2 linked regions of the Arabidopsis thaliana genome follow. The protein of the gene in region 1 interacts with the protein of each later gene in a pairwise test. Each region holds a gene or a part of one and is shown on either strand. Other genes may lie near its edges.

The links.
Region 2: the proteins of AT2G36410 (region 1) and YLS5 interact in a two-hybrid assay, tested with the Arabidopsis thaliana proteins (one large-scale study listed by BioGRID).

Annotation. Positions count from the first base shown.
Region 1 is NC_003071.7:15,271,593-15,287,271, forward strand, and holds AT2G36410 (transcriptional activator (DUF662)), read left to right. Parts: upstream 1-7,176; 5' UTR 7,177-7,448; coding exon 7,449-7,763; intron 7,764-8,115; coding exon 8,116-8,226; coding exon of another isoform or gene 8,227-8,259; exon of another isoform or gene 8,260-8,404; coding exon 8,405-8,485; intron 8,486-8,597; coding exon 8,598-8,678; 3' UTR 8,679-9,134; downstream 9,135-15,679. Other genes in the region: GRF3 (growth-regulating factor 3), read right to left, coding at 1-307, 522-713, 812-1,025; TRM27 (nucleolin-like protein), read left to right, coding at 14,906-15,568.
Region 2 is NC_003071.7:16,229,293-16,245,916, reverse strand, and holds YLS5 (Class I glutamine amidotransferase-like superfamily protein), read left to right. Parts: upstream 1-10,549; 5' UTR 10,550-10,709; coding exon 10,710-10,889; intron 10,890-10,975; coding exon 10,976-11,446; intron 11,447-11,524; coding exon 11,525-11,890; intron 11,891-12,108; coding exon 12,109-12,288; 3' UTR 12,289-13,058; downstream 13,059-16,624. Other genes in the region: CPK20 (calcium-dependent protein kinase 20), read left to right, coding at 40-207, 302-526, 623-703; AT2G38905 (Low temperature and salt responsive protein family), read left to right, coding at 1,445-1,525, 1,616-1,699; AT2G38900 (Serine protease inhibitor, potato inhibitor I-type family protein), read right to left, coding at 2,024-2,217, 2,558-2,630; AT2G38890 (uncharacterized protein), read right to left, coding at 3,269-3,406, 3,503-3,660, 3,758-3,917, 3,998-4,221, 4,375-4,521, 4,611-4,712, 4,792-4,822; NF-YB1 (nuclear factor Y, subunit B1), read right to left, coding at 5,601-5,609, 5,698-5,778, 5,867-5,937, 6,203-6,336, 7,033-7,232; AT2G38870 (Serine protease inhibitor, potato inhibitor I-type family protein), read left to right, coding at 8,867-8,885, 9,178-9,371; AT2G38840 (Guanylate-binding family protein), read right to left, coding at 13,802-13,943, 14,021-14,292, 14,362-14,574, 14,740-14,997, 15,498-15,665, 16,075-16,140, 16,221-16,240, 16,320-16,379 and 1 more. UniProt on the Arabidopsis thaliana protein: May be involved in oxidative stress response.

The sequences.
Region 1 (15,679 bases):
AAGAAGAAAGATCCTCCTTGACCAACCACTTCCTCACTACCACCACCACCACCAAAAGCAAACGTAGATGTTGTTGTTGCTGTTGTAGTGGTGGCTGCGGCTGCTACTGATGAAGCCATGGACGTGGCAGTTGCATTGACGGTGGTTGGAGTTTCCACAGGCTTTCTTGAACGGTTGCGGCCACGGTGCATGTGGCGCTCGCAATACTTGTGGCCAGCGAAGACGTCTCTTGAACATCTCCACTTCTTACCATCCGTTCTCCTGCATCTGCCTGGCTCAGGATCCATCGCTGCCCTTCCCAAATACCCTGTTTTCAACATTCATATCACATATCAGATCAATAACAAGATTCTAATCCTACTTAATCCCATTCACACATGTTTAGATCTTCAAGATTGGCAAAACGAGATAATATACTAATATTGAAAGTCTGGATCTTGGGAACACAACTCCAACACCAGTAGCACAAAACCCATTTATATTTAAAAAATAGATAGATGAAGACTGTTCTCGAGACTCACAAGCAGGTTGGTAATGAGGTAGGTGTTGAAGAGGATGGTGAAGAAAGTAGGAAGGAGATAGATGGAGAAGGCTTTTCTTGATTGGTAAAAGGAGCTCCTGAGGAACAGCAGCACCAGCCAACATGTACCTGTAGATCAGAGCTTGTAGTTCAAGTTCTTGCCACTGTGCCCAGCTAAAGAAGCTCCCCATCTCTACAAAAAGGAATCAAAATCAATTAAACACAAACTATATGAATGAAAAGTCTAATTCTTTATCAAGAAAGATAAGATAAGAGGAAGAAAAGACTCACTGGGGAACCTGGAGGAAGAATCAGGAGACAAAGAGGAGAGTTTAGAAGAAGTAGGCTCAGGGGTAAAGAGAGGAAGAGCAGTAGAAGTTGCAGTGTGAGAATGAATCTGGTCAAAGACATGTTTTGGTATCTTAGCTGCAGAAGGTTGTTCTTCTGACTCTGTCTGATGTTGTTGCTGCTGCTGGCTTCTCCATTGTTTCAGTTGCAAATCCATTGAAGAAAGAGAGAGAGAAGTGTTGGTTACTTTAAGGATAATGGTTTTTCCCCTTTTTTGTCTTCCAGGGTTCTGATTTAATAGCTTATGAAAGTCTTGTTGGTTGGGTTACGAAGAGCAAAAGAAAAGAAAAAAGAACTTTCTTTGCTCGAAGGAAAAAGCTTTGTTCTTGGTAGTCAGTTTCTGTATCTGAGCTTCTTCTGCAGAGAGAGAAAGGACAGAGTAGAGGGAAAGAGGTTTTTAATAGAGAGACTTGCGAGAAAAAGACAGTGAGACAAGACAGATGCGGGGAGAAAATACTATACAGTAAAAAAGACTACTACTATAGTATAACTCTTTATTAATTGTGTTCACAAATCTCTCTTCATTAATCTCAAAGACTATTTAAAATAATTGGTTTAACATTTGTATCAATAAAAAAATGAAAAGCAAGTCAGAAAACCCAGAAAGAACCACTCTGCAAGATGAAGATGGAGAGATAATAACCTGCAGTTTTTCTGTCTTTGCTGCTTTGGAAATACCAATCTCCATTTTTATATTAGTATAGCTTTTTAATTTGTTTTATAATGAAAACAAAAGCCTACTTGTTAAGAATATTTAATTAGTCTTTTAACCAAGTAATTTAGATTATTTAATGAGTAAGCGTTACGTCGATATAATTTGTAATTTGCATTTGTGACAAACCTAACTACTTTTAAATTTGAATTAGTATAAAATTCGTTTAGGTTCCTATATTATCATATCATACGGCACTAGATGTAGTACTTGCCACTCTATTTTCTTTTTTAACTGATTAATTTTGTACCTTCGTTCATAGATCTAGTCCGAAAATGGTAATATTAATTCGGGTAGAATCGGCTGAATTCTTGGTGGAATGAATCTGTTGCAGAAAAACTGAAAATATTATTTTGATATAATTATTTTAAAGCGTTATGCCAAAATTGACTGAAAAATTAATCAAACTAACATAACTGGTGGGAAAAAAAATGGAAACATGAGTTTAATAAATTCATCAGGCTAGTTGAACATGGATGGAGCCTCGAGAGAGAATCCCGGGTTAGCAGCAGCGGGAGGTGCGGTGCGTGATGGGAACGAGAACTGGGTTGGGGTTTTTGCTTTGAATATCGAAATCTGTTCAGCGCCACTAGCAGAGTTGTGGGGACTCTACTATGGGTTACACATAGTCTGGGAGCAAGGAATAACACGCCTTGAGCTGGAAGTGGATTCGAAGATCGTGGTTGGGTTTTTACAGACAGGGATACCGGATTCTCATCCTCTATCTTTCCTACTACGTTTGTGTTATGGCTTCATATCAAGGGACTGGTTAGTCCGTATTTCTCACGTGTATAGGGAGGTCAATCGTCTTGCGGACGGGTTAGCTAACTATGCGTTTTCTTTACCTCTTGGTTTGTATGTTTTTAATTCAGTTCCGGATTCTATTGCTTCTTTTGTTTTGGAGGATGTAAATGGGCCTGCGTTTTCAAGAACTATCCGAATGTAATTTCGTATTTTCTTTTTAATAAAATTGGCGGATTTTCCCCCTTTTCCTACCAAAAAAAAAAAAAAATCATCAGGCTTGAGAAACATTAAAAAAAATGGTTGTAAATGTTTATATTTTAAGTGATAGTTAAGTGAATTATAAATATTAAAAGTATTCAAGTAATTTCTCTATTAGCAAAGTTGCAGAGATTCTTGGAAGTTTTTTTGCCAAATAATTGTTAGCTATTCAAGATTTTTGTCAAAAACTTTTATACGGCGTGGTACGAGTTCATGTTGTCTTGAGTAAACATGACAAATGCATCCTTGTTTATGAGAACTCTTAGAGCAAGGTTAATCCACCTGAGGGTTTTTGAGAGGCCCGGATGCTTGAAGAGTATCGTATGAAGTTTTGGTTGTTGGAAGACCTCGGATTGCGTCATTGCGGAAATGTTAAAGCGAACGGCTTCCACAGAGTCTCAGCATATCCAAGGGAAAAGTCTCATGGGCGTCATCGCCTATACGTATTGCATTATTAGCTAGTTCAAAGATGTGGGAAAATATTTCATCTAACTATCACTTCTCTGTTTTTTTTTTTTTTTTTGACATCCATCTAACTATCACTTCTCAATCACTATGTATCTCATGTTTTCTTTAACAAATCTAAAAGAAAATGAATTCATGAATTGTATGTCAGAATGTTTAGCTAAACTCAAACCCCGAAGCTTTAAAATAATGGTAGAACGATGTCTCAAGAGTCTTAGGAGTCATGTATTAATTATAGAACAAACGACTACTTATGAGTTATTATATCTTTTACAGTTTTACTATAGACTGAAACCAAAATTTTCTGGTTCAAATTTGGTTAAGGTAGGCAAACTTTTGGTCCAATAATTTCTTTCATCTTTTATCAACGGTTAGATTTTGTATTCTATTCAATTTTGTATACAACAATTACATTCTTTTTGGGTTGATTTAGGTTTTACATTCGGTTCTGACTGAGGTAAAAAAAAAGATAGAAGAAGAGAAAATGAAGTAAAGAGGAGAGAAGTAAGTAATAATGAGAAAAGAGAAGCAGGTGGGCTGTGTCAGAGAAAGCTCAGAAGTAAAAAGCATAAAAGTGAGTAACCAAGTGGGTGGTGAGGGTTTGTTTCTCTTTGGGCTGTGATTCATCTTTGATTTGACTACTCATAGTACTTCTTCTTTTTCTCACTCTTACCCCCTCTCTTTTCCTCTATTTTTCACTTTTTACCCTCATAAAATCTTTATTCACATTTTTCTCACACTCCAATTCATTTAACAAAATTTTAATCACATAATACAAAATCTTAATCACATTTCCCTTTTCACGGTTTATCTTTCTATAATTTTAATAAGTTTCATATTATCTGATGAAAATTAAACATCAAACTTTGTTATTTATAATTTTAGTAAATAGATTTTTTTTCTTTTTTATTTCATAAGAGATTAAGTTATTTAATGTAAAGCTTCTCTTGACTGTATAATATCTTAACTATATTATTCTTATAAAATTTCTCAAATTTCAATAACCGTATTATGTTAGTCTACAAAAAAAATTATATTACATCAATATTCTTACATACCAAACTAAGATATATATTGTCCAGTTCTTTTCATGGCATATGTATTTTACATGCTCTATTTTAAAAAATTACTACGTGTTTCAATATCAGTATTGTTGAAATTATACACCCTCCAACGAGTAAGGAGATAACCCATTACAATGCATTGGCACTGATCTACATGAACATGACTGACCAGATTTAACCATTCGAGCAAACAAAATAATAAGTCAACTATATTTTGAATAGTCACAAAACTATACATCGTAATTACAAAACTATTTCTGACATATAAGATTAATAGGTTAAAAGAACCACCGTCGAATCGTTGATGTACGTAGTAGTAGTATCGTATTAACGAGGCAATGATATAACTATCAATATTTTTCGTAAGAAAACACAAGTTTCCTTATTCTTTTCTTACGTCGGCGATAAAAGTTAATGTCGTACTTTGATTTATGAAATTGTGATGGAAAATTGTTTTAATTAATTAAGAAGAGAAACGAGTTATTTGTACAAACAAATCTGAAAATATAGAAATAGAGCAAAGGACAGAGAATAAGAAGAAGAGGCAAAGGAGGGCGAGAGTTCACATGTTCAAGAGAAGACAAATACGTTTCTCTGACACAAATCTGTCAGACCAATATTTTTAAATATTTTATTGTATAGTTTTTATTTTGTTTTGTTGTATGAGAAAGAAACGTATATTATGTCTTTATTACCACCACAAGGGGTCAGGCTCCGTCCACTTGGGGTCCCAATTTTTTCTTTGTTACGAGTTTTTTTTTGTAGTAAAAGGCAAGTCACGCCGGCACGCGAGCCCTCACGTGATCCCACGTGCTTTATTTATTCTCTCCATACCAAAATTTCTTTTCCTTTGTTGTTTGGTAAGGTTTTTTCTTTTTTGGCCAAAATATGATATTGGCGAGATTGAAAACATGTATATTTTTAAAAAAAATGTAGGCGTAAAAATTATGTTACTAACACTTCATTAAGCATATGCCAAGATTTTTAAATTAAAATTTATATATCACTATTGGTCGTTTTTTTTTTTGTGTGTGACAGCAGCTCACTATTGGTTGTTTATATTAACCACATACTAAATAAGGCTAGCTACTACCAAACTTGGACCAGAACCTAACACATGATGTTATTTTTAGTAATATGAAAAAAAAGAAACGAAAAGGAAAAAGGAAAGAATAGATCTTTCTGGTGAGAGAGCATACACAACACATTGGTGACACAAGGTATCTAAGGGCATGACCGCACGTGTCAACATGCATCAAACATGCGATCTTTCAATATTAGTATTATATATTTAGCAAAGACGCAAAAGAATCCAAGGCAAAGACTACTTCGCCTGCATGTCATGCCAATCTCTCTCTATATGTTTTCTAATCAATATACTAGATTACTAGACAAGTTGTTTTCTAATAAGATCTCTCACATATGAGCCAATTTGAGCCAAAACATGATATGATGGATAAAGCTTATTTGGGTATTGAAAGTATAGAGACTGTCAATGAGAAAGTAGTCATTTGGGCCCAAGTACAGAGATTTAAACCTTATCAGGAAAAGCCCAATCCAGTACAAACTTGAAGAAAAAGATTGATCTCCTTGTAAGTTGCAACTGGTAAAGAATAGGACCTTTGTTCAAGGTCTACTGTATTGAGATACTGAATTAGTATAAACGGCCACTTAAAACTACTTTGTATTTGTTTAGGCCCAAAACATTGGACTATCATGTTGAGAAAATAAACACGAACGCAACAGAAGTTTCCTACTTATTATATAGCCCAACAAATATTGATCTCTTTGCTTCCAATGAATCTTTGTTAAGGCCCAAAAAATACAAAGCCGAAACTACTTCCATCTTGTACTATTTTTAAGTTTATTTTTTGGAAATTTTACCATGTATGATTCAGATCGTTGGTTTAAATTTTTACAACTAGAAAATAGTATATACTCTATTAGCCTATTATGATATTAATTAATGGGCAATATTTCGATTAGTTTACGTGTAGAGTGTAGTGATAATGTATTTAGGTTTTGACCGGCAATAATGCATTTGTAAGAAAAGTCTTTGGACAATAATAGCTTTGGTCAAGTCAATGTAGAACAGAAGACTAATTTCTCTTGACAAAATATTAAACCTTAAAAACAAATCCTGTCAGACCAAAAGGTGATACGATTGTAACTTACAAATGATACTATATATTTTTATAGTTAACAGTCTAGTATTTAAAATTTTGAAATATTGATGATCATTGATTGGTTCATATAAGTAATCCATTAGGTTTTCATGTTGGTCAATACAGATGTACATGTTTTCAGGATTAATATAGGTTCCGTCCTATGAATTTATCCGACCATGCATAAGAGTAACTCTTTAATCTACTATTACAAGTTTTCAGGATTTGAAAGCTCTATACAAGTTTAACTTTATGTGTATATTAGTTAACGTTTGTAACCACAGATTCATAATATTTACCGTCGAACTCTTAGCCATAAAATTCGGACTAAAAGACTCGATTCAAAAAGGTATCGATGAGATGGAAAGTTGTTGAACTTATTGTATAAAAGCTTAGAGAGGATATTGATAAGTCGTCTTTTGCTTTTGTATCTACAGCTATGACGTATATTGTTTAATCCAAATCAAAGTGTTTTAAAGATATTTTGGTTTCTGGTGGAGGTGGTATACTAAAGATTCACATATAGATAGAGATATTTATGAATACATTGATATGAAAATCATATACAATATGCTAAAGAACAATAAATGGTACACATATGGATTGGTTGGATATGGTTGGCACTTGGCAGTTAGGTCATTTTCGTTGCTTTACTAAACTTTAATAAACAGTCTGTAACATTTACATTTATATACGCCAATGCCAAAAAATTCTTTATTTTATGCAATGGCACATTTTCTGCTTTTCCTTTACAGGCAAAAACTCTTTCTTTCCTAAAGATGCATTATTTTTCCATTTGATAAAATAAAAAAAACTTGACGGTACAAAAATACACAGAAGACAATCGAATTAAGTAATGACTAAGTATTAAGATTAGGTGAAATGGTGTAATTAAACCGATGGGAATAATATAATTATTATTTAAATACAGAAACAGAGCTTGCTTTACCAAATACCACCGAAACCCACTAAGAATACAGCAAATCGTCTCTTCGCCATTAAAACACCTTCCTTTGCAAACAAAGCTTCAAACTTTCTCTTAAAACACCCCCAAATCAGCAAAGATAGGGTTAATCGAAGAACCTCACCGTAAGTCCACTGAGGATTCAAGTTCTTGCTTTGGTTTAAGGAAGAAGAACAGCAAAAACCTCAAGGAGAAGAAGAAGTCAAAGATGACTCAGAGTCAAACCAACGACGGAGCTGGAGCTGGAGCTGTTACGACGGTAGAATCTGTTCCTCCTCAGCCTCAATCTCAGCCTCAGCCTCAGCCGCAGCAGCAGAGCAACGAGATGGTTCTGCATACGGGAAGCTTGAGTTTTAGTAGTCATATGTCGAGAGAAGACGAAGAGATGACTCGTTCTGCTCTTTCGGCGTTTAGAGCTAAAGAAGATGAGATTGAGAAGAGGAGGATGGAAGTTCGTGAACGGATCCAAGCTCAATTGGGTCGGGTCGAACAAGAAACCAAACGTCTCTCTACTATTCGTGAGGTTTGAATTTTACTCTGTTTCCTTTTCAAAGTTAGAGTTTTTAACATGTTTGAGAAGTTGTTCTATTTTGTATAAACCCTAGAAGATATAGAGATTCGATGTTTGTTGGCGCATCTCTGTTTAGGGTTTTCAAGATCTAGGATTTGGCTAAGTGAGAAGAAATGTTTTTGTACTTTTTCTTTGGACATGTACTGTTTCTTTTGATGGAGTTATGTTGTGTTGTGTCTTGTATAGGAGCTTGAGTCTATGGCAGATCCTAGGATTTGGCCAAGTGTAATTGTTGTTATGATTTGAGTTTTGATGGAGTTATGTTGTGTTTCAAGGTAAGAACTTGTGTTGTTTCTTGTAACAGGAGCTTGAGTCTATGGCAGATCCTATGAGGAAGGAAGTTTCTGTGGTTCGTAAGAAGATTGATAGTGTTAACAAAGAACTCAAACCTCTAGGTTCCACTGTTCAAAAGAAGGTAATGTTTTGTTTAGCATCATCTGTGTCTTAGTAGCGTTTTGAATTGATGTTTATGGCAACCATCTGAATCCCTAAAGGCAGAAACTTTAACAATCGGGTATGCCATACCGAATAAACTATTTTGCTATTGTTGAAAGGCTGAACAAAATTCGATTTTTGGTAATGAAATGAAACAGGAAAGGGAATACAAAGAAGCACTTGATACATTCAACGAGAAGAACAGGGAGAAAGTACAGCTGATCACAAAACTCATGGAGGTTAGTTCCGAGTTCTCAACTAAGTTCTTAATATGTAGAAACTGCGGGAACAAAACCGAGTTTTCCATCGCTTGTTATACATAAATGGTGTTTCTTTTTTCTTTTTGGGGAGATGGAACAGTTGGTTGGAGAAAGCGAGAAGTTGAGGATGATTAAGCTGGAGGAGCTGAGCAAGAGCATAGAAACCGTGTGAAAAAGGTTGTTCAAGAAGAACTAATTGGGTTCTTTTGTGTGATGTACCTACCTAGTTTAAAATTTTCATCATGTAAGATGTGTGGGTTGCTTTTTTTTTTATTGTTATAGTTTTTTTAAAGTCTTTGGGGGTTTGATTTGTAAAATTTGTGGGTTCTCTCTTATTTTTGATTAACCAAATTTAGGGATATGGGAAAATGGGAGATTCTTAGGATACTGAAACTCATCACAGTGATTATTCTTTCTTTCTCTGTATTATGTTTTGTATCTGTCTTTTGAAGAATTTATTATTTTTTTTTGGCTTTTTAGTAAAGTTTCTTCTCGTTGGCAAAGAAGAAAAGTGACTCTCGCGTGCGTTTTTTGAAATCTAAAAGCTGTCGGAACGGCAGAATCTTTTCACTTGTTTATTTGCATAAATCCTTTCTGGTTTATACATCAAACCATCGAACTATACAAAACGGGAAATTTCATATTATAAAACCTCAACAGTTTTTAGCTATGTTACGCTGCCTTAAGCTACTATTCTACTATAGCGTTTGGACCCAACTGCAGGCCCACTTCTTATAGCTATACCGAACATACATTAGCCACTACTGTTTCTTTTTCAAATACTCAACAAATTTAGTTTTTCTCTAACTCTTTTTCTAGTATTTTAATTTGGATGTAAACGAAAATAATAAAACATCTTCTTCGTTTTTAAGCTAACATGAATTTGTGGTCTTGTTATTTGGTCTCGTCAATGGACCGGCGACATTCATGCCGTCATAGAGAAGATTTGATCTTTGATCTATACGACATCATACTCTTCTACCTTCATCATAGTAGTAATGCGTTCTTTAATAACATGCATTTTCTTCTTCTTATTTTCAGTGTAAATACGTTGGGGTTTTGTTTACTTAAAGCGTGCACATTTAGAAAAACAGCGTCAATCCAATATCATGAGACAACAATGAAATAATACATGTGATTTACCCGTTATAACGACCGTTTTTATTGCTTTATTTGGTGGGCGGGGTATGCATATTGAATTCGTCAGACTCTGCCTTTTATATATGATATTTTCTTAACTCGCTATCCTTGCTTTTTCATTTACATATTTTCTTTTTGTCTTGTTGTATTTGGTACGTTTATGTATATATGCAAACAAGACAATAAAAATCAAAACAAGATCGGCATGCAAGTTTGTGCTTTTGTTCATCAATTATTTAGGACGTAAAAAGTGAACGCAACAAAATACTATGAGCTTTGATATTTCCACCTTTTGTGATCACAAATCTCTTTCGTGTTTCTTGTCCTAACCAAAAGGCAGAGTTTTATTTGAAATTAATGACTTAAGACATTTTCGTTTTCTAGAAAAAAGACTTATGACATTTTACATATGAAATCAAATACATATATGTGCAATGTAGAAAATGGACCCAACACCCAAACGACAGTACGTAGAAAGCTGAGAAAGTAGTTCATAAACCAAACTAATATAAATGCAGGTTATCATAAGTCATCACAGGACATACATAGTAATTTTTATTACCTATTATTTTACTAGATGATATAGTGACATAGTTTGCTGTTACGTTGATAACCAGTTTCTCTCCCATACCTGTGTGTTATATTAATATACATAACTTGTCACATAATTTTGTTATATTATGTTATGTATCAATGTATCCCTTGTGGTTCAAAAATAAGATTTTCCAAAAGTATTTTCATTTTATTTACGTCAAAGTTTGACCACTTTCTTATTTATTTATTTTGCCATTCTGGTATTTTAATTTCTTTAATCGTTTCAAACTCATTGGTATTTTGAAATTTACCTCTTCAATTTAGTTAAACAATTTGGCCAACTACGTGAAACTCATTTCAGTCTTCATGTCTATGTTCTCGCACTCTTCAGAAAAAGTTCTAAATTTGTGTGGGCAAATTGTCAAAAATTGAAGACTTAATTTATTTTATATCAAACTGGTTAGATACGGACACGTACACTCACCGTCTAAAGGTGCCTTCGCCCTTAGGATTCTAAACGACTCTCATGAGTCATATGACCTTATGCTTTGGCTGCCTCTAATTTATTGACAATTTGGCTGTTACGTTAATGGCAACTCTCTCTTCCATACCAACTTTTTCACTGATTTTAACATTTTATTATGCTCACTTCAAAAATTTCAGACTGCTGCTTATACGTTGAAGTACTAGTATTTTACAGCTAGATTCGACTCAGTCCCAAACCAGATATTTTTTTCCCTTTCATCTCTGTTTTTATTAATAATGCAAAGAAGGATACATTGATGAAATACATAAGCCTGCGGAAACAGTAAGTCTGCTGAATAATATTGTATATATTATTTATTAGTACAAAATTCCATTATTTTCTTACTAATTTGTTACAAATATCTACTACTTTGAAAAAAAATCAATTAGTCAGAAAATAGTCAAATATTTTGTTTTATTAAATTTCCTTTAATAAATTATAGTAAGGCATGTACAGAATTAATGAAATTAAGTACACAATCAAAACTAAGTAAACAATAATGAAAGAATAATAAAAAAAAACATAGTAGGTTTGCACTTTGCAGTTCAAGTACACGTACAGTGGTTATCAACAGTTACCCATTACCAGCAAACGTGGATTTCTAGAGAATTTCAAAATAAAGTTGATTACTCGAATGGAAGCCAATATGTATATGTATAAAGTACATCTACATTTATTTATCCACTCACACATTTAATAACGACAGTCGTATTATTTTATTTTGATGAATAGTATCATGTCACGAAACTGCATTTGTTTTTCAATTTTTTTTTGTCGCAAATGTAAAAGTTTCAATAAATAATTTACAATATGTACGAATTATAATTTCCAAAAACGTTGATACTAATTCAAAAGTCAATTTTTTCTCCCGCGTATATTAATTAAAGTTTCTACCTAAAGTGATATAATGTTAAGTTTTTTTCTTTTTTTTGCTTCTCTCCATATGAATAATTTTTTTAGTTTTTATGTATACGTAAACTTGCATGTAACTACATGTCTACATACATTTTGAAATTTCAATTTAATATACGATTGTTGTCTTGCAACATTTACATCCATAAATAAAATCCGTCGGCAGATTCATAAATTGACATTTCATGGTACAAATAGGGATATTTTAATTCATTGGTCGATACAAAGTTTTGTCCTAACAATAAAATTAACTAAAAAGACAAAACAGAAATATACCGTGTCGTTTTACGTTCCACGCGTTCAGCAAAATCTTTTTGTCTGCTGCATGCTCAGATGGAAAAAAAGATCAGCTAATTAACAAAATATCTAATCAGAATAATCAGAATAGTCTAAACTAATGCAGCTTTACTTCATCTTAAATCTTATTCATTTTCATATATGTAAAGTTGGTTACGTTAATATTAAATCTTTAAGAGAGCGGGGAATCCGAGAACAAACAGTGTCTCTCCTTCGCTAAATTATTTATTTATACAGTATAGTATTACCAAATTGCAATTAATTCTTTTTTTATATATAAGTGGTGACAATTAGTGGACTTCGCTTTTTATGAGAAAAAAATATCATTCATATTGAGACAACAACAACTAGAAAAAATATTCTACTTACTGTATTATTTAAAACACAGATATGTCAATAATTGAAAAATATGTATGAGTGGATCAACAGTAAAACAAATTATATGTAACATATCATTCTACAACCTCTCCTTAAATCAATTTTTTAAATTCAAGCCAAAAGCTAAACATTAAATAAACAGTAGTGCCACATGAAATTATAGGTCGGACCATAGTGAAAATATCCACTATATATACTTTTTTTTTTTCAACTATCCACTATATATACTATAAAAACAAAACATAAAGTCCACAGATGCTGAGAATTTAATTAAAAGGAGTACACAGCTGTAAAGCCTACAACTTTTCTTTCTCATTTATGGTGCGAACCTTTTATTGTCCTGCCCAATGCAATTTTTTTAATATGAGTAATTAAATATATTTTTCGTTTTTATAAATTCAATTTTCAAGGAGAAAATAATTCGATGTATATGCATATTTTGTGTGTATATATTAGCAAATTTTCACGTGTGGACAATCTACGTCAATGGAGTATATAAACGTGTGTTACGTAGGACAAATCAGTCGTTGGATTAGTAGTTGCCAACAGTTGCCTTGATTAATAAATTGGTATCATACTCTCTTCTTTGTGTTTGTTAGGGTCAAGATAATATATAAATTTGTGATACTAATCATAGACATTTTACGACAAAAATACGGACCTGTTCATTACTCGAAAACTATATGAAGCCGAAATAGATAATGTCCTATTTTTCCTCATCATTATCATGAAATCTATTTAAAAAAATCAATAGTGGTGTAAAACAATTGATTCGTCATGATTTATAGGTATGATTGCTATTCTTGATTTCAACATCGTCAGATACTAAAAATTTCCCAATGAGTAAGTTAAGATTCGGACCACTGTTATTTGGGATTTCTTAAAATAAATAATCAACAACAGATTTCGTGCTATGCCCGGTAATGTTAAATGTAGAACATGGGGTGTTTTGTTTTACTTAATTGTCAATCATAAATCAAATATTCGGATTAGGAATTACGTCAAGTGCCAATTAGATTGTTATCACTAAAATCATATCATATTGCTTTCTAAACCAATTAACGTCAGTCCATTTATTTAAAGAAAAAATAAAGTATTTCACTAAACTGTCCAGTCCATTTCACCAAGTACTTAGATATTCATAAACACAAAATTAATCACTCAACTTTTAAAAATATTTCTTCTAGACCAAATCCTGTACCAACTCGTATTGAATGTTTCAGTGTAAAGTGTAAAGTGTTTTCTTAAAAAAATTAGTTAAAAAATAACTGAATTATCACAAAATATTTTCAGAACCTAGTCACAAATCTAATAAATTACATATAAAAGCTTCTTCATAGTTAAAAAAAACCAGTGATTTCAGTACCAAACAATAAGAAAAGCTAGCATATGATATATTTCTTTTGCTAAGAAGCATATGATATATTCAATATTCGTCCACGATCCACTGAATATTTTTTCTTTATTCCACTGAGATTTCTTTTCGTCGCTACTTTGAATCTGAACATTATTTTTGGTCTCTGAATCTATATGTTTGCTTGTCTTTCAACATCATGACTCGCATATCGATACTACAACTTCAACTCTTCAAGCAAGACACATGGAAATATAGGAGTTAACACATGCAAACTAGCACCCCCAAATTTTGTCCTCCTGGCTCCTACAATAGCTGGACCGAACCTACATGAAGCCGGCTTTATCTGGTTCTCTTCTCCAGTTATGATGTCAAATTTAAATCATTCATCCCTCAACAAGAATTGTCATTTTAGGAACCATCATCATACCGAGAGAGAGCAACATTTTATCTATAAATATAGTAATAGTTCTACTCTTATTTCTTCCGTGGTTTCTTGTAAAAAAAACTTATGCATGTTCGTTCACTAAATAGTAGTTAAATTTGCGATAAACGAGCGAGATATGTCATGCATAAAGGAGTTAAAAATTACGTGAAGTTATTTCAATGATCATGCAAGAAGGATTGAATGACTTGTAATTACGATCAAGTAATATAAAAATGGTCTATTTGTTGTTCCTTCGTTACCACAGTATGGTTCTTACATGTGAAAATGATTGTGCTTTACATAAATGTAGTAGTACATGAGCCCATAAAAAGTTACTGCTCAGTCGAGTTTTCACTAACCGGTGAAAAGAAATGGATAAATAAAAATATACACGACTACAAATAGACTCTTTAAATTTGACACGTAAACTCTATTTTTCAGGAGTCTTTGAGGCCCACTCTGATAATAATATGTCAACTAAACTTTCTTTTTACAAACAAAATTACCGTTGCATAAGACACATGTCGTCAATTATAATCCAATATGAAGAAAGAAAGAATATAAAACGAAAACTTTACTTTTCTTATTTTTTTCCTATTTTTCAAGATGCTAGGAAGTAGCCAAATCCAAAGCATTGACTCTTCTTTATCCAATGTCTCACCCTTTGTCTTCAACTGTTCCTCATCCTTCACCAAAATCTCTCTCTCTCTCTCTTCTTATAAGAAAAGAGCTAAAAAGCTTCCCTTCGTTTTACTATATCCATGATTCTGAATTCCACACACACTGAGAGAGATAGAGGGACACATTAAAAGCTAATTCAACTTTTCTGCAATGGCTGAGAAGGAGAAGAAGAAGCATTTACATGAGTTTCTTGAAGATGACCAAGAGCCTTTTCATCTTAACCATTACATCGGCAACCTTCGTTCTCAGATGGGTTGCTCCGATATGCGTGTCAAGAAGCGAAAGTCCGATAACGTCGCCACGTTTCCTCCTGGTTTGTTCTCCTGCGAGAACTCTTGTTTCTTCGCAGCTCATAAATCTCCTGACCCGAGAAAGTCTCCACTCTTTGAGCTCCGGTCGCCGGGAAAGAAGAAGATACGTGACGGTCGAGTTTTCCTTCAGATACCGGCGAGAACCGCCGCAATTCTCTTGGACGCAGCGGCGAGGATTCAGAAGCAGCAGTCAGAGAAGGCTAAGACCAATAAAGCTCGGACCAGAGGAAACGGGTTTGGTATGTTCGGGTCTGTCTTGAAGCTGCTGACATACCGTATAACAAAACCGCGTTTGGATAACGCTGATGGAAACGCAGTTTCGTTGGAACGCGGGTCGGAACCGACGAGTAGTAGCCGGAGAGAGCGTATCGTGGAGATTAGTGATAAATGCTTTTGTGAAAGCCCTTTTCATTTTGTTCTCCAAACAACTCCTTCTTCCTCCGGTCACCAGACTCCTCACTTTACATCGACGGCCACTTCTCCGGCGCGACGCAGTACTGAGGTTTGTCTCAATCTCTGTTTTTTATTTTATTTTATCAAAAGTCTAAATTATGGACAATTATGTACTCTAAATTTTATAACAAAACTAAAAAATAGTTTAAATTTTAATTAA
Region 2 (16,624 bases), 960 kb from region 1:
GTGCAAGATAGAGAGTTATACGTGATGTATTTGATTCAGGTAATAGCAGAAAGCTTGTCAGAGGAAGAAATAGCAGGATTGAAGGAAATGTTCAAGATGATAGATACAGATAATAGTGGACACATCACTCTCGAAGAACTCAAGAAAGGTTTGGACAGAGTTGGTGCTGACCTTAAAGATTCAGAAATACTAGGATTAATGCAAGCAGTAAGTCCATTTTTATACTGAAATCACCTTTTGTTTACTATATGATGTGAGATGTGTGAGATAATAATTTGGAAAAATATGAACATTTGATCAGGCGGATATAGATAACAGTGGGACAATAGACTATGGAGAGTTTATAGCAGCAATGGTGCATTTGAACAAAATAGAGAAAGAAGACCATTTGTTCACAGCATTCTCTTACTTTGACCAAGATGGAAGTGGTTATATAACCAGAGACGAGCTCCAACAAGCTTGCAAGCAATTTGGCTTAGCGGATGTTCATTTAGACGACATTTTACGCGAAGTCGATAAAGACAACGTAACAACTCATTAATATGCAATTGATATGCTTTACCTATAGTTACTTGCAAGAACATTGTTCTTTATAATGATGTTATATGATTGTTTTTGTCAGGATGGAAGAATAGACTACAGCGAGTTTGTGGATATGATGCAAGACACTGGTTTTGGCAAAATGGGTTTAAAGGTGAGTTGAAGAAACAAAACCTCAATGACCCCATTTTTTCCAACACTTATTTTTTCTTTTCTCTTTTTAAGTATAATTTAATCTTTGTGGATATATGTATATGGGCTGCTTACTGCTTAGCATTAGCATTCTTGAGCAGGTTTTTGTCCTCTCTGTTCCACATTTTTTTTGTATTTAAGTTTCTCATGAGTCATGTCCTTTAACTCTCCCTTTACTCAACTAGGAGAAAAAATGTATAGGTTTCACTTTGGAAGATAACCAAAGATTGTAATTTCATTTTTCTTATATGTACTTTTAGTAGGTCAATGTAAAACTCTAGAAATTATTGAAAATGTTTATGTAAATTATTACACAATATCGATTTTAATATGTAAATCTAGTGAGTGATAAATTATTAATCTTTTCACAATAAAACTAAAAATTCTTTGAAAAGAGGGGATGGAGTAAACAGATTCGAATCATAAACATTAAAATGTTATCTTCTTGGCCTCTCAAAAAAGGAGAAATTGAAAATATCTGTGAGATTTCCGTGGAATTAGTGGAAGCAGTTTTGAAGTAAAGCAGTTTGTTTGACGTGTTCATCGCTACGAAAGCGTCTCCACGTGTCACGTGATACACTGCAAGCAGTACACGTGTCAAACACCACTTCTTTTACTTCTTGACCAAACTTTCACACCACTTCCCTTCTGTCCACAAAACCTCTCTTTCTTGTTTCTGTTTCTGTTTCTCTTCTTCTCCAAAACATCAAAAATGGGATCAGAAACTTTCTTGGAAATTATTCTGGCGATTCTTCTACCTCCCGTCGGCGTTTTCCTTCGATATGGTTGTGGGGTAAGCACTAAATTACATCTTTACTTAGTTTTATGATTAATGAATGAATCGTTAATTGATTATTGATAATTAATGTGTTAATGAATGCAGGTAGAGTTCTGGATCTGTCTCTTGTTGACGATACTGGGTTACATCCCTGGGATCATCTATGCTATCTACGTTCTTGTCGGATGATGACCAAATTCTCTTGTAAATTTTTCATAATCTTTATTTAGCCTTTGTTGTTCTTTTCTTATCGCTCTTTGTAATAAACAACTCTTGCGTTTTCGCTAAATAAAATACTATTTTTGCTTAGTTCCTAAATCACCAGGGCTGCCAAAATATACACCACATCATCCATTCAAATGCGTTATATGATCGGACACCAGAATCATTCAAGCAAACAATAGATGTTACATTATGACCAACCAACCAACTATGCATGCATTATATATAGTTTCATTTATTCATAGTAAGGCGCCTACATGGCTATAGCATAATGGTGGTCCATATACATGTCTAGCCGGCGGTTGGGTTTCTGACAACGATACGGATTTCGTCAACCCAAACCCTAACGCGGTAGCAACTGAGGTCTTCAGTCACATAATTTCCATCCGAAACCACGACAACGTTGAGGCTCGAGTTCTCTCCTTTTATCACCGAAGCCGCATAGTCTCCATTTGTTCCTAAAAGCTCCGGCCATGAGTTCTTCCCTGTGTGTGGTCAAATCAACCACATCAGATTGGTAAATCATTTGCATTTGGTAAAACAGTAGGTCCAACGGTTATTATGGAATCAAACTATATATCCCTACTAATACTATATGGCTCTCCAAATATCATATATTGGGGATTTGTTGTGTAATCCATTGTTATTCAAACAATAGATGAAACATAAATCTGTGTCAATCGATAAACAATGCATGCTCCAAATTATAATTAATTTCCTCAAGAATGTGCTATGTGAAACTGACACATGAGAATTAAATAATAGTAAACGATTTGACGTGAGCGAGAAGAGAAAAGATTAAAGAAAATCGATAAAGGGCGGTACCAATATCAAAGAATGAAAAGTAGAAATTGAGGATGAAAGACGAACCAATATAACTACACCACTCGGTTGCCATTTTTCTTCCTCTTTTGTTTATGTATATTGCGATGATGTGATTGTTTGCTATGATTGTCCTCAGGAATTTGAGTCCAATTTATACAAATACTAGGATGTATGCAGATGTCTATGGGTTTGTATAACACAGAGTCAAGTTAGTTTCATTGTGTTGTCCTTTGCATTAGCCATTAGGTGTACCATATTTTCTTTGTTAGATAACACGTGCATGGTGTAAAACGGAGCGGTTCTTCAACTTTACTATTATTTAGTAGAACATTAACTTACTTTAAAGGAAAAAAGGATTTATACTAAAGCTTACTTAATAAATACTCTTACGAATTAATATATATGGAGGTGCAATCTCAAATAACAAGTTATAAGGTATTTTGCAAACTCAACACAAAATTATGGCTTTTTTTATAACAGTTCGTAACTCAAAATATATCTGATCGATCCGATGATCCGACCAAAAACTCATTCGGTTAGTTTTCTGCTCCGAAATGTAGAACATTCTTTTTTTCGGGCTATTTCTTAAAGCAACAAAGGAAAAAAAAGGCAGCTACTACAACCAAAAGAAAAGAAGACAGTTGACTTATCCAACTCAACATGCAAACGATGCCTTGTAACGCACCCAAGACATATATATCATTGCCCGTTTCACTTTCGTGTTTTGCGTTGTCCCAGAATGCTGCGGTTTTCTGGTGTAGAAGAAGTCTCAAGTTTGGATTTGTGTCTTCTTCTTCTGTTTGCTTCAAGAGCATTTGGTTCTCTGTTTTCTTTCTCTCCGTTCTCCTGCTGTAACAAAAGTTTGTTTTTTCTTCATCATCTCAGGAATCTTACATTACAAGATATTTGCTAGGTTCAATAAAACGAATTTCTTAGGAAGCATACCGAGTCGAAAAATCCCATCTTTGGAAGTGGTAACCTCAGACCAGAGTAGGATGATGTCAAGTCCTTGACTGCGTAACTTGAATACGATGACCTTATGTTAGATTTCGATCCAGATTGTTCTTCAAAACCATGATTCTTGTGTTTTTCCTTATTCCTCTCTTCAAAATAAAACAAAGATGTGCAACTTTTAAAGATGTTTTGATTTTCTTCTCGTTTTGAAGAAAGAATAAGATGTATCATCAATCATGTCCTCACCGAGTTCACTTGCAACACATTTCTTCTCGCGTATAGCTTGACTAGGAGTCAAAGATTTGGAGATGGATGATAAAGAAAAAGAAGAAGAAGAAGAAGAAGACACTTTTGGTTGAGGAATGAGACTCAAAGGTTGAACTTTCTGTTTGTATCCTTTAGTCCTCTTGACAAACAAAACCAATTAATAAGTAAAATTTAGATGAAAGCAAATGATTGAAACAGTTTCTGAGGTTTTCCGTTTACCTTTATACCATCTGGTAACTTACGATGGGTCTCTTGAGTTACTGTCTGCTTCACATTCGGTGAATTACGTAAAGAGGCTCTCAGGTCGTGGAACAGATCAAACTCAATGCTGGCCACAGAAAATCTGCTTCCTTGAGTTGTCGTCGTATCAGCAGACTTACGAAGCTGCGTGTTACTGGTGAAACCATTGTTCACAAGACACAACTCCTCAGCATCAAGAACACCTTAGCATAAATATAGACAATGTCAGCCTTGAATATACAGAGTCAAAGCTAAATTATAAGGTTTGATTGTTATATATGAGAGGAATAGTGGAATAGTGTGAAATAATTGACTAATCAAGTAGGGTAAAGAACTTTGAAGTAAAAAGATGAGACCTGGATCGGTAAAAAAAGCATTGTCCCAAGCAAAACTTGGACGAGCATCGGTTTTCGAAGGAAGTGTGTGATTATGATTTACTTCAACTTCAATCTCATTCTCGTCAATCTTTAAGCTCCCAAACAATTCTTCAGGATCTAACACTCCTACAAACCAAAGTGGTAAAATCATTGGAATCATATAATTTAACATTTTGTTTCTACACAAAACCAATCTATAGGAAATAGGAAGAAACCAGGGTTGGTGGAAAAAGCAGTGTCCCAGGCCAAGCTTTTGCGATGGTTCCATTTGCTCTCTTTGTGTGCCATCGGCTGCACAAAGTCAATCTTTACTCTTGCTGCTGCACAAAGTATAATCAGTTTCTGAAGACTAAAGAGATTTTAGATAGGAGAGGAAACAGAGGAAGATGATTCTACTTGATGATGAACCAGCTTCTTGAAATTCCATAGCCTGTTCTTGATTTTGAAAAATAGAATTTTCAAATTGGAAAAACAACAGCCTTTATTAAGAGAATTTATGGAGAGACAAAATTTTGAAATTTGTAAGTTTTCGTGATTTAAGCATTTGATTACTCTCTCAAAGCTTTTCAATTCAAAGCAAAATTAATTGCTGCCTTTACTTTGTGATTTTGTAAGTGTAGTATTTGATACAGATCAACTGACTTAAAATGTAATTGTCTATACCCAAAACAAAGGTACTGTACAAATTTAATTTAAGGATTTTGTATTAAATGAGAATAAATTAGCTATGAAATTCCGAAAGTGAATCGAAAATAACAACAGGATGTGGACAAATTTTTCCTTCATTCAAGTGTTCTCAACATCTAACAGAGAAATCTTTAAATACAACCAACTAAACCGGAAACAATAAACCAAACGTTCAAACTAACATAACCGAAATTGAGAGTAAACCCGAAATAGTTGTCGATCAGCTCAACTATAAACAACTCACTGATCTCTAATTTCCCCTGCACCGTTTTAGAGAATTTCACGTTAGACAAACAATTTTGAAACTAGCCATAGTTCATTCACACAGCAAAATATAACATGATCAGCAAGTTTACAAGGCATGTCCTACTATCATCAGTTGTAACGAAGTGAAGATTGGATATGAACCTACATGCATATAGACTATGCTCTTCATTTGTGTACATGAGGCCGTGTGATAGAGAGAAGAATTACTTGATCATTTGGCGATTGTTCTTAATCACTACTTGCAACTTCTTTTACCAGCTCTGTGATTGAATCAAAATGATGAAGTCAGAGCTAAGTACAATATAGGCTGTATAGCATTGGTATCATCTATACTTGTCAAAATCATACCGGCATTTCTTCACCAGAAACACCGCCACCAGCATCTCTATTTGATCCATCTCCACTCTTTCCTGATCCCTTATTATCACCCTATCATAATTTCACAACAAAACGTAAGAAGCCAATGGGCAACACTGGAATGGAATATAAAGTAGAAATAAGTATGTGGTTTATTTACCTCCAACTGCATCAGCAGGTGGTGTGTCAGCAACCAATCCCAGGGAATGAAAAGAACCGAATTAGTCTCAACTTAATAAGAAACATTTTGATTTTATTATGTATGTTAACAACAAAAGCACAAAAGAGAGAGTAATAAATGTCTTTCAAAATTTACTAATATGCATCCTGACTGTTGGTCTAGATTTATCTTTCTTGCTTCAAAAATTCTACACAAGACGTATTGAAGGGATTGTAAAACTGCTATCATGGCAAGCTTCGATGTTACTCACAGCTACTAATCTCTTGACTAGGATATTAAGGATTTCAGAACACATGATTAGGGAGTCAAAGCAACATACCTCCCTGTACCTCGCTAGGTATATCTTTAGAGGTTCCAGGTAATCCTCAAATCCTAATGTTGCCATTGCCCACAACAAATCATCACCATTCACAGTTTTCCTTTTCTCTTTTTGACACTTATCACTGGCCCTGATTAGCAGAAACAGATACCAGTCAATTGGCCATTACAGTCAACGAATCAACATAAGACCAGCAAAAGAGACTTAAGCGCAACATCAGACAAGCTTATCTTGAACCAATAGATAAATCATAGTTTCATACATGATAACTTATTTCTTCCTAACAAAGAACGGGGGCATCTGATGTTATAAGAAACATAAAACTCATCAATCAGAGACCTAAAACGCATTCAACACAAGCAATTCCTTCATGATGAAAAACATATCTTTTGCCTTAAATGAACAAAAAGGAACAAAAACAAACAGATCCTAAAGATAAAAGAATCTTTGAAACATGATCAAGATACGGCTTTTATACCCTAAGATGGTTAAATGAAGAAAAAAATCTAACAATTTATTTGACAGAGTTAAGATATAACACAGTAGAAGCATGTGAAATAATCTGCAAAATGGTCTATAGGAAAGGAACTAGGTTAAGGTAAACCCATACCAAACAATGGTTGATTAACATTGTGACAAAAAAAAAAACATAATCTTTGCTCTATAAACTTCAAAAAACTCTCTGAGCTAAACTCAATCCATAGCTAGTTTAAGAAAACTATCTCTCACAAACCCAAAGTTCCAACAAATGATCAATTTTTTTCACCAAAGAGCAAAATATTTTCCAACAAATTCGATTGAAAGAAGAAAAATTGGGAATGCATACTCGCTAGTGATGAAGCTGATGAACTCAGAGACGCATTCCTGAACTGTATCCTTAGCATCTTTTCCAATCTTACCATTAGGAGGCAACGCTTTCTTCATGATCCTGCTGATATTAGCTATAGGAAGGTATCGATCCTGCTCCCTAACGGAACCGCCGCTTTCTCCGCCATCTCCAGCTGGGCTCGAAGGCGTATCCGCCATTTATACTCTACAGAAACAGAACAAACACTCAATTTGAAACCTAAACATGGTCGATGAAGCTAAAGTAAACAACAAAAAAGGAAATCGAAAATGGCGTACAGATTGGGGAAGATGGAAACCCTAGAACTTGGAATTGGGGATAGTCGTTTTAGTTTTAGGGCTTTAGAGAAATCGAATTTTTCTACGAAACGCTGCGACTGGTGTTTATATGATATGATTACACGTTTTTTTGTATTTGTTCTGTATTAGCTTTTGTAAAAGTTTTCAGACAAGGATTAATTTGGTAATTAATTAGACAATTTAAGAAAACTATATGAACAATTTGACTAAGGGTGACTTTTTCAATCTATTGTATAATAATTAGATGAGAATTTAAACATAAATTCATTTAATTTTTCAATGAATTATCTACGTAAATAAATCATAGAAAATTAAGATACTCTAATAACAATACCAACGACAATGTGGATTCAAAGTGCCTAAAGAACAAATTCTTTTACTTATGTAAAAAATCCTAAACTTTAAAGAACAAAAATTAAAATACAAAGATAAGTAATTAACATTTTATTGGGCTTCTAACTGGATTTGGTTCTATTTATTTGGGCCTACGTTTGAAAACCTCGGTCTTAAAGAATTTGTGTCCAGCTCCAGCACAAGGAGAGGCTTATAGACCATATGTCTTTTGGTGTCTGTTTCAATGGGCTTACATGTTTTGTTTTCAGGCGGCCTCGTCTTCTTGACACACACAAGTTTGTAACATTGGGCAGTGTGAAACATACACAAAACTAAACACTAATTAATTCTCAACCACAAATATTTAAGTGTGATGGTGACTTGGTCTCATATAATATGTGATTTTGTAATTTTGTTCGAAACCCGCATATAGAGTTGTTACCAATTAATACCTAAATCTTTATTCCGGATACGTGCTTTTACCAATCTTAAACAGACCAAAAGAAAAACTATGACTAAGTTGAACTGTATATACGTGTTTTAAACTGTATATACATATCAAATTGAATATTAACTATATGACAAGATTATCAAACGGGAACAAAAAAAAAACTATATGACTAAGTTGTGATGTTGTTTGTCAAATTTTATGTACGTCAACAATTCAACATAATTGACATTATCGTTGTTTGTGTGTGTGACAACAATTGATTATAGTATTTTTATACATGAATTTTATGAAGGACAGTTTGGTCATTTTTGTCGGCTAAGTGCCAAATTTGGCAGAAGCGTTTTTTTGCATGCAAACAGAATTCAGTCGACGCTAGAAATATTTTTCACCTTCGTTTGTTTTTCAAATTTCGACATTATCTTAGCCTTAGAAACCTTATCTTGTTCTCGATAAGGTTTGAACATCGTGATATAAATATGTACATTTCAAAGCTTTATAAAACAAAATCAGAAGTGTCAAAGCTTTTACCAAACAAATTAATAATGTCAACGAAGGGGCTATTAAAAGCTGGTTTCGTCAAAGTTTGACTTTTGAATCTGCAACCTCACCGACGACACCGACACCAAGACGTAACGTACGTATCCGATTCTATAAATGGGACTCAAATCTCTAAAGGTGAGCATACAAATACATCAGAAGACTACATAAATATATACAAGAGTGAAGAAAAATGTCGACCGAATGTCCTAGTAAGTTTTTGTATTTGTATTGTATAGTTCATAATTAAAGTTTTATATGTTTGTAAATAGTTAGCTAATGTTCAATTAGATATGGATTCAAGGCATTTAAAATTGTAATTCAATAGCTATAACATATATGATTACATTTTCTAAAGTCTGTTAGAAGGTTAATTATGTTACATATGGTCAATCCATGGTGATGTTTCTAGTTCTTTTGTTTTCATTTACTCAAATATGAGCTTCTTGATCTCCAAAATCCCAAACGTAAATGATTGACCGATCTAACGTAACGTGATCGCAGGGAAGAACTCGTGGCCGGAGCTTACGGGAACAAATGGTGACTATGCGGCCGTGGTGATAGAGAGAGAGAACCCCACCGTCAATGCTGCCGTGATTTTGGATGGGAGTCCGGTGACCGCAGACTTCAGGTGCGACCGGGTCAGAGTTTTTGTTGATGGAAACCGTATCGTCGTCAAAACCCCCAAATCCGGCTAGACTTGTATAATTTCTATATTCATAATGAAAAAGCTATAGACGAGTCGTGGTTGGTTAGTAATCAATCATGTAAAATAATAATCGTTTGCCTTCATAATTTCTGTGTTACTGATGCCTAAAGTTATGAATGAAAATAGTATCCTATATTTCAATTTGTAATGTTTCAATTTTTTTTTGTCAGCCAAATTTTTTGATTTAAAGTTCAAAAGAACAGATTGTGATAACGATTTCTAAGAGAAAAACACGTGTGGCAAGTGGCAACGTGTAGACAACAAATGGTTGAGGGGAGAAGGAGCACCCCGACCTAGTCCTCCGCCTTGAAGCTCTTCCAAGCAAGAATCAGGAAAACCAAAAATTAGCAAATAATGGATAATGGACCATTTCAAATAAATAAAATAATAAGTGAAGTACAAATTAATAAATTAAAGCAGGCCTGTTTTGCTGCCAAAATAAATAAATTAAAGCACTTATGATATATACAAATTTTAGAAAAAGTCATATGATTAACAAAATTTTACAAGAGTATTTTAAGCTAATAGACCGTTTAGTGACTAGTGTGATCATCTTGTAGAGGTCTATTACACGTGTTAGTGACTAGTGTGATCATCATACACATGAATTTTTCTACAAAATACACATGGATTTTTCTACAAAATACACATGGATTTTTCTACACATACACATCCCAGAAGCTCTCCTAAATCCAAGCTTTCCACAACCCAAGGGTCCCATGCATAGTCTAGGTTTATCGAGGCCCAAGCTTAGCTTATGCATACATGCTCCTTGTAGCCAATATGCTCTAGAATCCTGACTCCACAAACATGAGATTCATGTAGCTCAAGTTCTCCATAGTCCAGGCTTTGGTAAACATGGCTACATATCATTCTTTAGATTTTCTAGATTCTAGCTTCCGAGAGACCGTACTCTGAACGTTAACTCACGAGTCATGTGCATTAAATGAAATACATACACGACGTTTTGTATACATCACATTCAATCTACCAAAAGTATTATTTTACACCAACCAAATGGATGTAAAATAATACAAAATGGAACTATTCAACATAAGTATACCAATTCAATGTCCATTTCATAAGTATACCAATTCAGCCACATATAATAGTTAGCAGAAACTACATACCATTCAAAGTTATAGCTAGTTTATATATTTGTAATAAGGACTTTTCACCAGTTGGACTTTGAAGCCACCAAAAAAAGTAGGTGAAAGTGAGTTGGTGGGGGGATTCAAAAGTTCCACATGACAAATAGATAATCAGTATAAATAAGATTAGTTCTTCTTATATTGTCTTATTCAATGCACACAAACATTTACCCAAAATGGCATCGGCGGTTCAGAAATCAGCGTTGCTCTTATGTGGAGACTACATGGAAGCCTATGAAACGATTGTTCCTCTCTATGTTCTCCAATCGTTTGGGGTTAGCGTTCATTGCGTTTCACCCAACCGCAACGCCGGCGATCGCTGCGTTATGTCTGCCCACGATTTCTTGGGCCTCGAGGTTCCAATTTTCCCACTAAAACGAATTTCGAACTTTCTTTTTCTTTGTGATAATTCGCTTAATTTTGTTTTTCTGTTCTAAAAAAGCTATACACCGAGCTTGTCGTTGACCAGTTGACTTTAAACGCAAACTTCGATGACGTCACTCCGGAGAATTACGACGTCATCATCATCCCAGGAGGCCGATTCACGGAGCTTCTCAGCGCCGACGAGAAATGCGTTGACCTCGTGGCGCGATTCGCCGAATCCAAGAAGCTGATCTTCACTAGCTGTCATAGCCAGGTTATGCTGATGGCGGCCGGAATCCTCGCCGGTGGTGTGAAATGCACGGCGTTTGAAAGCATAAAGCCTTTGATCGAACTCTCCGGCGGTGAGTGGTGGCAACAGCCTGGGATTCAGAGCATGTTCGAGATCACCGATTGCGTTAAAGACGGGAATTTCATGAGTACGGTTGGTTGGCCAACGCTTGGTCACGGCATTAAGCTTTTGCTTGAATCTCTTGGTGGCAAAGTCTGTAGCTTGGAGAAGAAGCAAGCTTCTGTGCTTTTCCTCATTGGGGTGAGTAAAAGGCGTAATCTTTAGTTATATCAATCTTGTTTTGATCATCAGACTCGTTGAGCATTACTCTGTTTTTAGGACTATGTAGAAGATTATGGGATCAATGTACCGTTTAGAGCACTACAAGCTTTAGGTTGTAAAGTGGATGCTGTGACACCGAACAAGAAGAAGGGAGAAGTGTGTGCAACGGCGGTTTATGACCTTGAGGATGGACGGCAGATTCCTGCAGAGAAGCGTGGACATAACTTCTTTGTGACTGCATCGTGGGATGATATATGTGTGGATGATTATGACTGTGTAGTGGTTCCAGGAGGGAGATCACCTGAGCTATTGGTGATGAATGAAAAGGCTGTTGCTTTGGTTAAGAGTTTTGCAGAGAAAGATAAGGTGTTTGCAGCTATTGGACAGGGGAAATTGCTTCTTGCAGCCACTGGTGTTCTTAAGGTAAAATCATCACCTGTCTTTTCTTTTGGGAGGTTATGAGCTCTGTCAAAACAGAAAATGTACTTGGAGGAAATAGTATTCACTAATCTTGTAATGAATATAGAAAATGTGATGTTGAGGATACAATGGTGATCCCAATGTTTATATCAAGTCATGCTTGTGGAATCTAGTAACTAACTAATTTTGTTCATGTGGTGTTTCTCTTTATGGATTTGCAGGGGAAGCGATGCGCGAGTGGGAAAGGGATGAAGGTGATGGTGAAGGTGGCTGGAGGTGAGGCTGTGATGGAAAAGGGATGTGTAACTGATGGGAAGGTTGTGACGGCAGCATCAGCCACGGATCTGCCTGCCTTTTTGTTTGATTTATCAACTGCTCTTGGTCTAACTGTCATGTTCTAAGATTTTGCAACTAAAAAACATAAAAGATAGTTTGAGTAATAAAATCATATCTTCAATTTGCTCAATTGAAGTGAAAAGAAAAACAAAAGAGCTCGATTGTAGTGTCTCTGCTTTCATGAGTTCATGGCACTCCTAACAAACTATATTGTAGCTGCTTCTTGGAAATAAAAGCATGTAGTTTGGTGATCAAGCTGATTTGTGTAGCTGCTGCTTCTTTTTGACCACATAAAAGATTTAGTTTGCATAGGATATAGTGACTAACTTTTGAACCCCTACTCAAAACCATTAGATCAAAACAGAAGAATATTTCTTAGAAAAGTTAATATCTTTTAGCTTGAATACTCTCTTTTTTTCTTTCTTGGATTGCTTGTGACACCATAATCTTTTTTTCTCTTCTATATCATCATTCACTGGGTTTTAGCCATGTCTCTTCTACGTTTTGTGTCGATGGAAACTTTTAAGTCACCTCAAAGTCTACTTCTAATACTCGCCTGGATATGGATGAAAATCTTTGTCCAAGAAGTACTTGACTACTGGATCACTTCATCTTTCCCTAAGATTAAGTGTTTTTTTAAGAAAGCAATATGAGGAATCCAAACTATTTGCAGTGAGAAGGGAACACGTCGTCATCTACTTGTTCATCCTTTTTGAAATAGCAGATTTGATGCGCTTGGACATTACTTTTGTCTTACGTAATCATACCAAAACTTCTCTTATCAGGGCGTTTGTTATGAGAATTTGTTTAGACCTTGATATCTTATGTGTAGTCATATTTCTCGTTCATCCAAATACGGTTACATATAGATTCCGTGCCGATGTCGAGAAGATGGAGGATACGAACGATGGACTGCTTGTTAGCGATTCCCCAAAGTCACCCAAAATTGATATCATAGCGATTCCCTATGTAATAATGTTTAGCTGCTAGCTGGCTAGTGGTTTGTTCATGTTTTTTTTTTGTTCTACTACTAATGTAACTTGGTCGCTTCTAAAATTTAACTATTTCATTTATGGTTTTGTTTTTAGGGCCTTGTTTTGAGCTATAGCTTGTTCTGTTTTATTGGCCTTATAATCTAAAGAATAGATTAAAAGAGAAATCTAAGAACAGCAAAAACAGAAGAAGATTTTATAAAATATGTCTTTGCACAACGATTCATGAATCCAACAATCAAAATTGCAACACGAAGGTTCTGCTTTCATAAATTTATAATATACCAACATAAACAAACTACTTTGAATAAATAAACAAAATAAAAACAGACTCTAAGGTTTGTTAGCTCAAATTAGCTGTGATTGAGAGAGTATAAAACCATTTATGTATATGAAGAGTTAAACATTACAAAGGCATTCTATGTAAATGGTACAATCAAACCAACTTGGATCGATCAATCATCCTCTTTCATTCTTCTGCGTCCAAAAAATTGGTAGTAACGGGCAGAGAGCTTCTGATGATAAAAACAACGAGCATGCCCGAGAAGATGCTATAAGTATAATGGGAACGACGAGGAACATGTTTTTACTCAGACCGTTCCCTATTCCGGCCATTCTTCTGGTTGTTGTACAGCGGAAGAAGCCAGCGAGCCCCGTGTTTCCTCTTTCCATAACACCGCCAATATAGCACACAAAGTGCAATTATGCAGACTATAGGAATCGCCCATCTATTTACCAAAAACACAAACAAATTTAGGTGAGCAAAGAGATTGAGAGAAGTTTGCTCAAGACTTGTTTCTGTTACCTGTCCAAGTCGAGAACAGGACTATACACGACATTTTCCCATGTCCCAACGATGAAATGCCAGACTGGGTTGTAATAAAGAGCTTCTGCTGTCCAGAACATCCTTGTGTATGTCTCCAAGAATATGAAAAGTATCCACGCCGCCATTTCTAATAAAATGAATTTTATGATAAACCGGCCCACAACCACCATTACAAGAGAGAACCCAACCAGCCAGTTGAACAGTCGGTTATTGTATTCTTTGATGAACAAAGACCGTGACTTTCCCATCATCTGCACACAAGTTCTCATATCAAATTACAGTTCAATACTTATCACATAACATAGACATGTATATATTACCTTAGTTAATCTTTGCTCATAATTTTGTTTTGAAGGACCAACACATTGCTGCTCAAACGTTTTGTTGCAGTACACAAAACCTGCATTAAATTTAGCCATGGAAGGGAGTCGGAGAGCCTGTAAGTGGTCCATGTCATCTTCACAACTTGTATATAGCGCCTCACAGAGCTTCGACGATTGGTATTCATTTGCAAGAACAAAATTCTTATATACCTGGACAATATTTCAAGTGCACAAGAATGAATAAGAAAGTAATTTTGGAAATCTTATTTTTCCGTAGACTACCAAATTTGCCAACACGAAATTCAGAATCATCCCTTTGTTTCATCCACTAAGCCACACTTAATAGAAATTCTATATTAGCATAGGAATTCATACCTCCTGCATTTGTTCATCCAACTGATCGACAGATTTCTTTGCATGTTGTCTGCCAAAATGTTGTGCATCAAATGCTTTGATAGCTTCATTATGCGCCATTTCATGGGCACTTTGGAGAGATTCTTCGGACATAGGTAGTCGCACTCTTACCATCTTCTCATTGTACAGCTTCACACATCTCTCAACAATATCTTTATTGAAAACCTCAACTAGTGATCCTGTTGATGGGATCTCTCCTTTATTTAACGCATCCAATATCTAGCAATCAGAATTGGAATATATCAACATACCATTTCGTAAGCATATAAGGCATATTATAGAAATCATATAAGCCAATAGTGTTACATATCAACAACGTGTACTTATGCTCATCAGATTTCTAGTAACAAATACATCACTTATAAAAACACGCACTCATAAATTGATACGTAATGGGATACCACCATAGCACCAAAGGGTATGAAACTATAAGTATCAAGGACAACATGAATCAAAATGACCACATTAAAAAAAGTTCTCTACCATTGTTTATACAAATTTTAAGAACAAGCTAACTGGATAACTTAAAGTAGCAAGGAAACACAGCCATCCATGAGAAGAGAAAACATGTCTATTTACTTGATAAAGTATGTAAGAGCACCAGAGAAAGCAGCCACTTATTCCTTTTGATCTTTCAACGACACACTTCCACTCAGTCATATAAATGGTTTGAGATATTTAAAGCATACAACCATACAGAAAAAGAAATTGACACTCACCTGTTCCAGGAAAGAAATAAATTCCTTCCCGTTTAGTGTTTTCCCCTGCACTATCTTTGGGCGGATAATACTAGCAACGAGCTTTTTCAATTGGTCACGCCTTGCAACATATGTAGAATCCAGGTCCTCATCCTTCAGATCACACAGCTTCGTACGCATGAGATGAGGCTATATAACAAAAACAAGAACAAAGTTATCAAAACGAAGACCACCCTATCAAGGCAGCAACAAAGATTCCACGTCTGAGTCAGATCAGACAATGATTTCATAATGTTCCACATGGAAGAAAAAATAAAATTTCCTCCCAAGAACTTTGGAAAAGCTATACTTCAAGGATACACAAGCACTGAAATCTAAGGATTTTGTGCACACTTCAGGATGACTTAAAGTTAAAGGTAACCACCACAACCACACTAAGAAAGTTTTGTATTCGCGCATGATTCAGCAAAGATATTCAAAGATAACCATAAATGTTCATGCACAAAGATAGCCATTTTGATTAAAGTTTCATGCTCTGTATTTTCTTTCTGAAAGAAAGGCTGGAAAATATGCAAAGTAGAACACACAAATGCCTTACCTGCGGTAAGCTAAAGGCTGTGCTGTTGTCACCCATTATAGCCAAGGAGTCCCGAATCTGGTTAACCTGAAAAAGGAGACAACAAGAATGATTTCTGAGATAATAATGATGATTACCTGTACGATGCAGAACACAAGAGAACATACCTGGTCAATATTTTTGTTACCTGAAAACATAAGAAACAAGAAAACACAATTAACAAAGGTCTAGGAGACATTAGTTGAAGAACAAAAAGGAGCGCTAACCATCTTCATTAGGGACATGTCTGAGAGCTTCATCCACCATTTGCTTCACCGATTTCCCTTCTGCATAAAGTTGGAAACTTGGAATAGTGTTAATCATGACCAGATCACTTGCATAAAACACAGAGAAAACTGGAACATTGAAATGGATCACACAGGACCAGGAGCACACAAAAATACTGCTTGTTATATCAGAGAAGAGAAAGAAAAGCATTTCAAAACAGGCAGAGATTACATAGAATATAAGCACTGTTTAAATGGAACTATTATGAATGTTGTAGTCAAAAGCACCATGCACTTACGCAGAA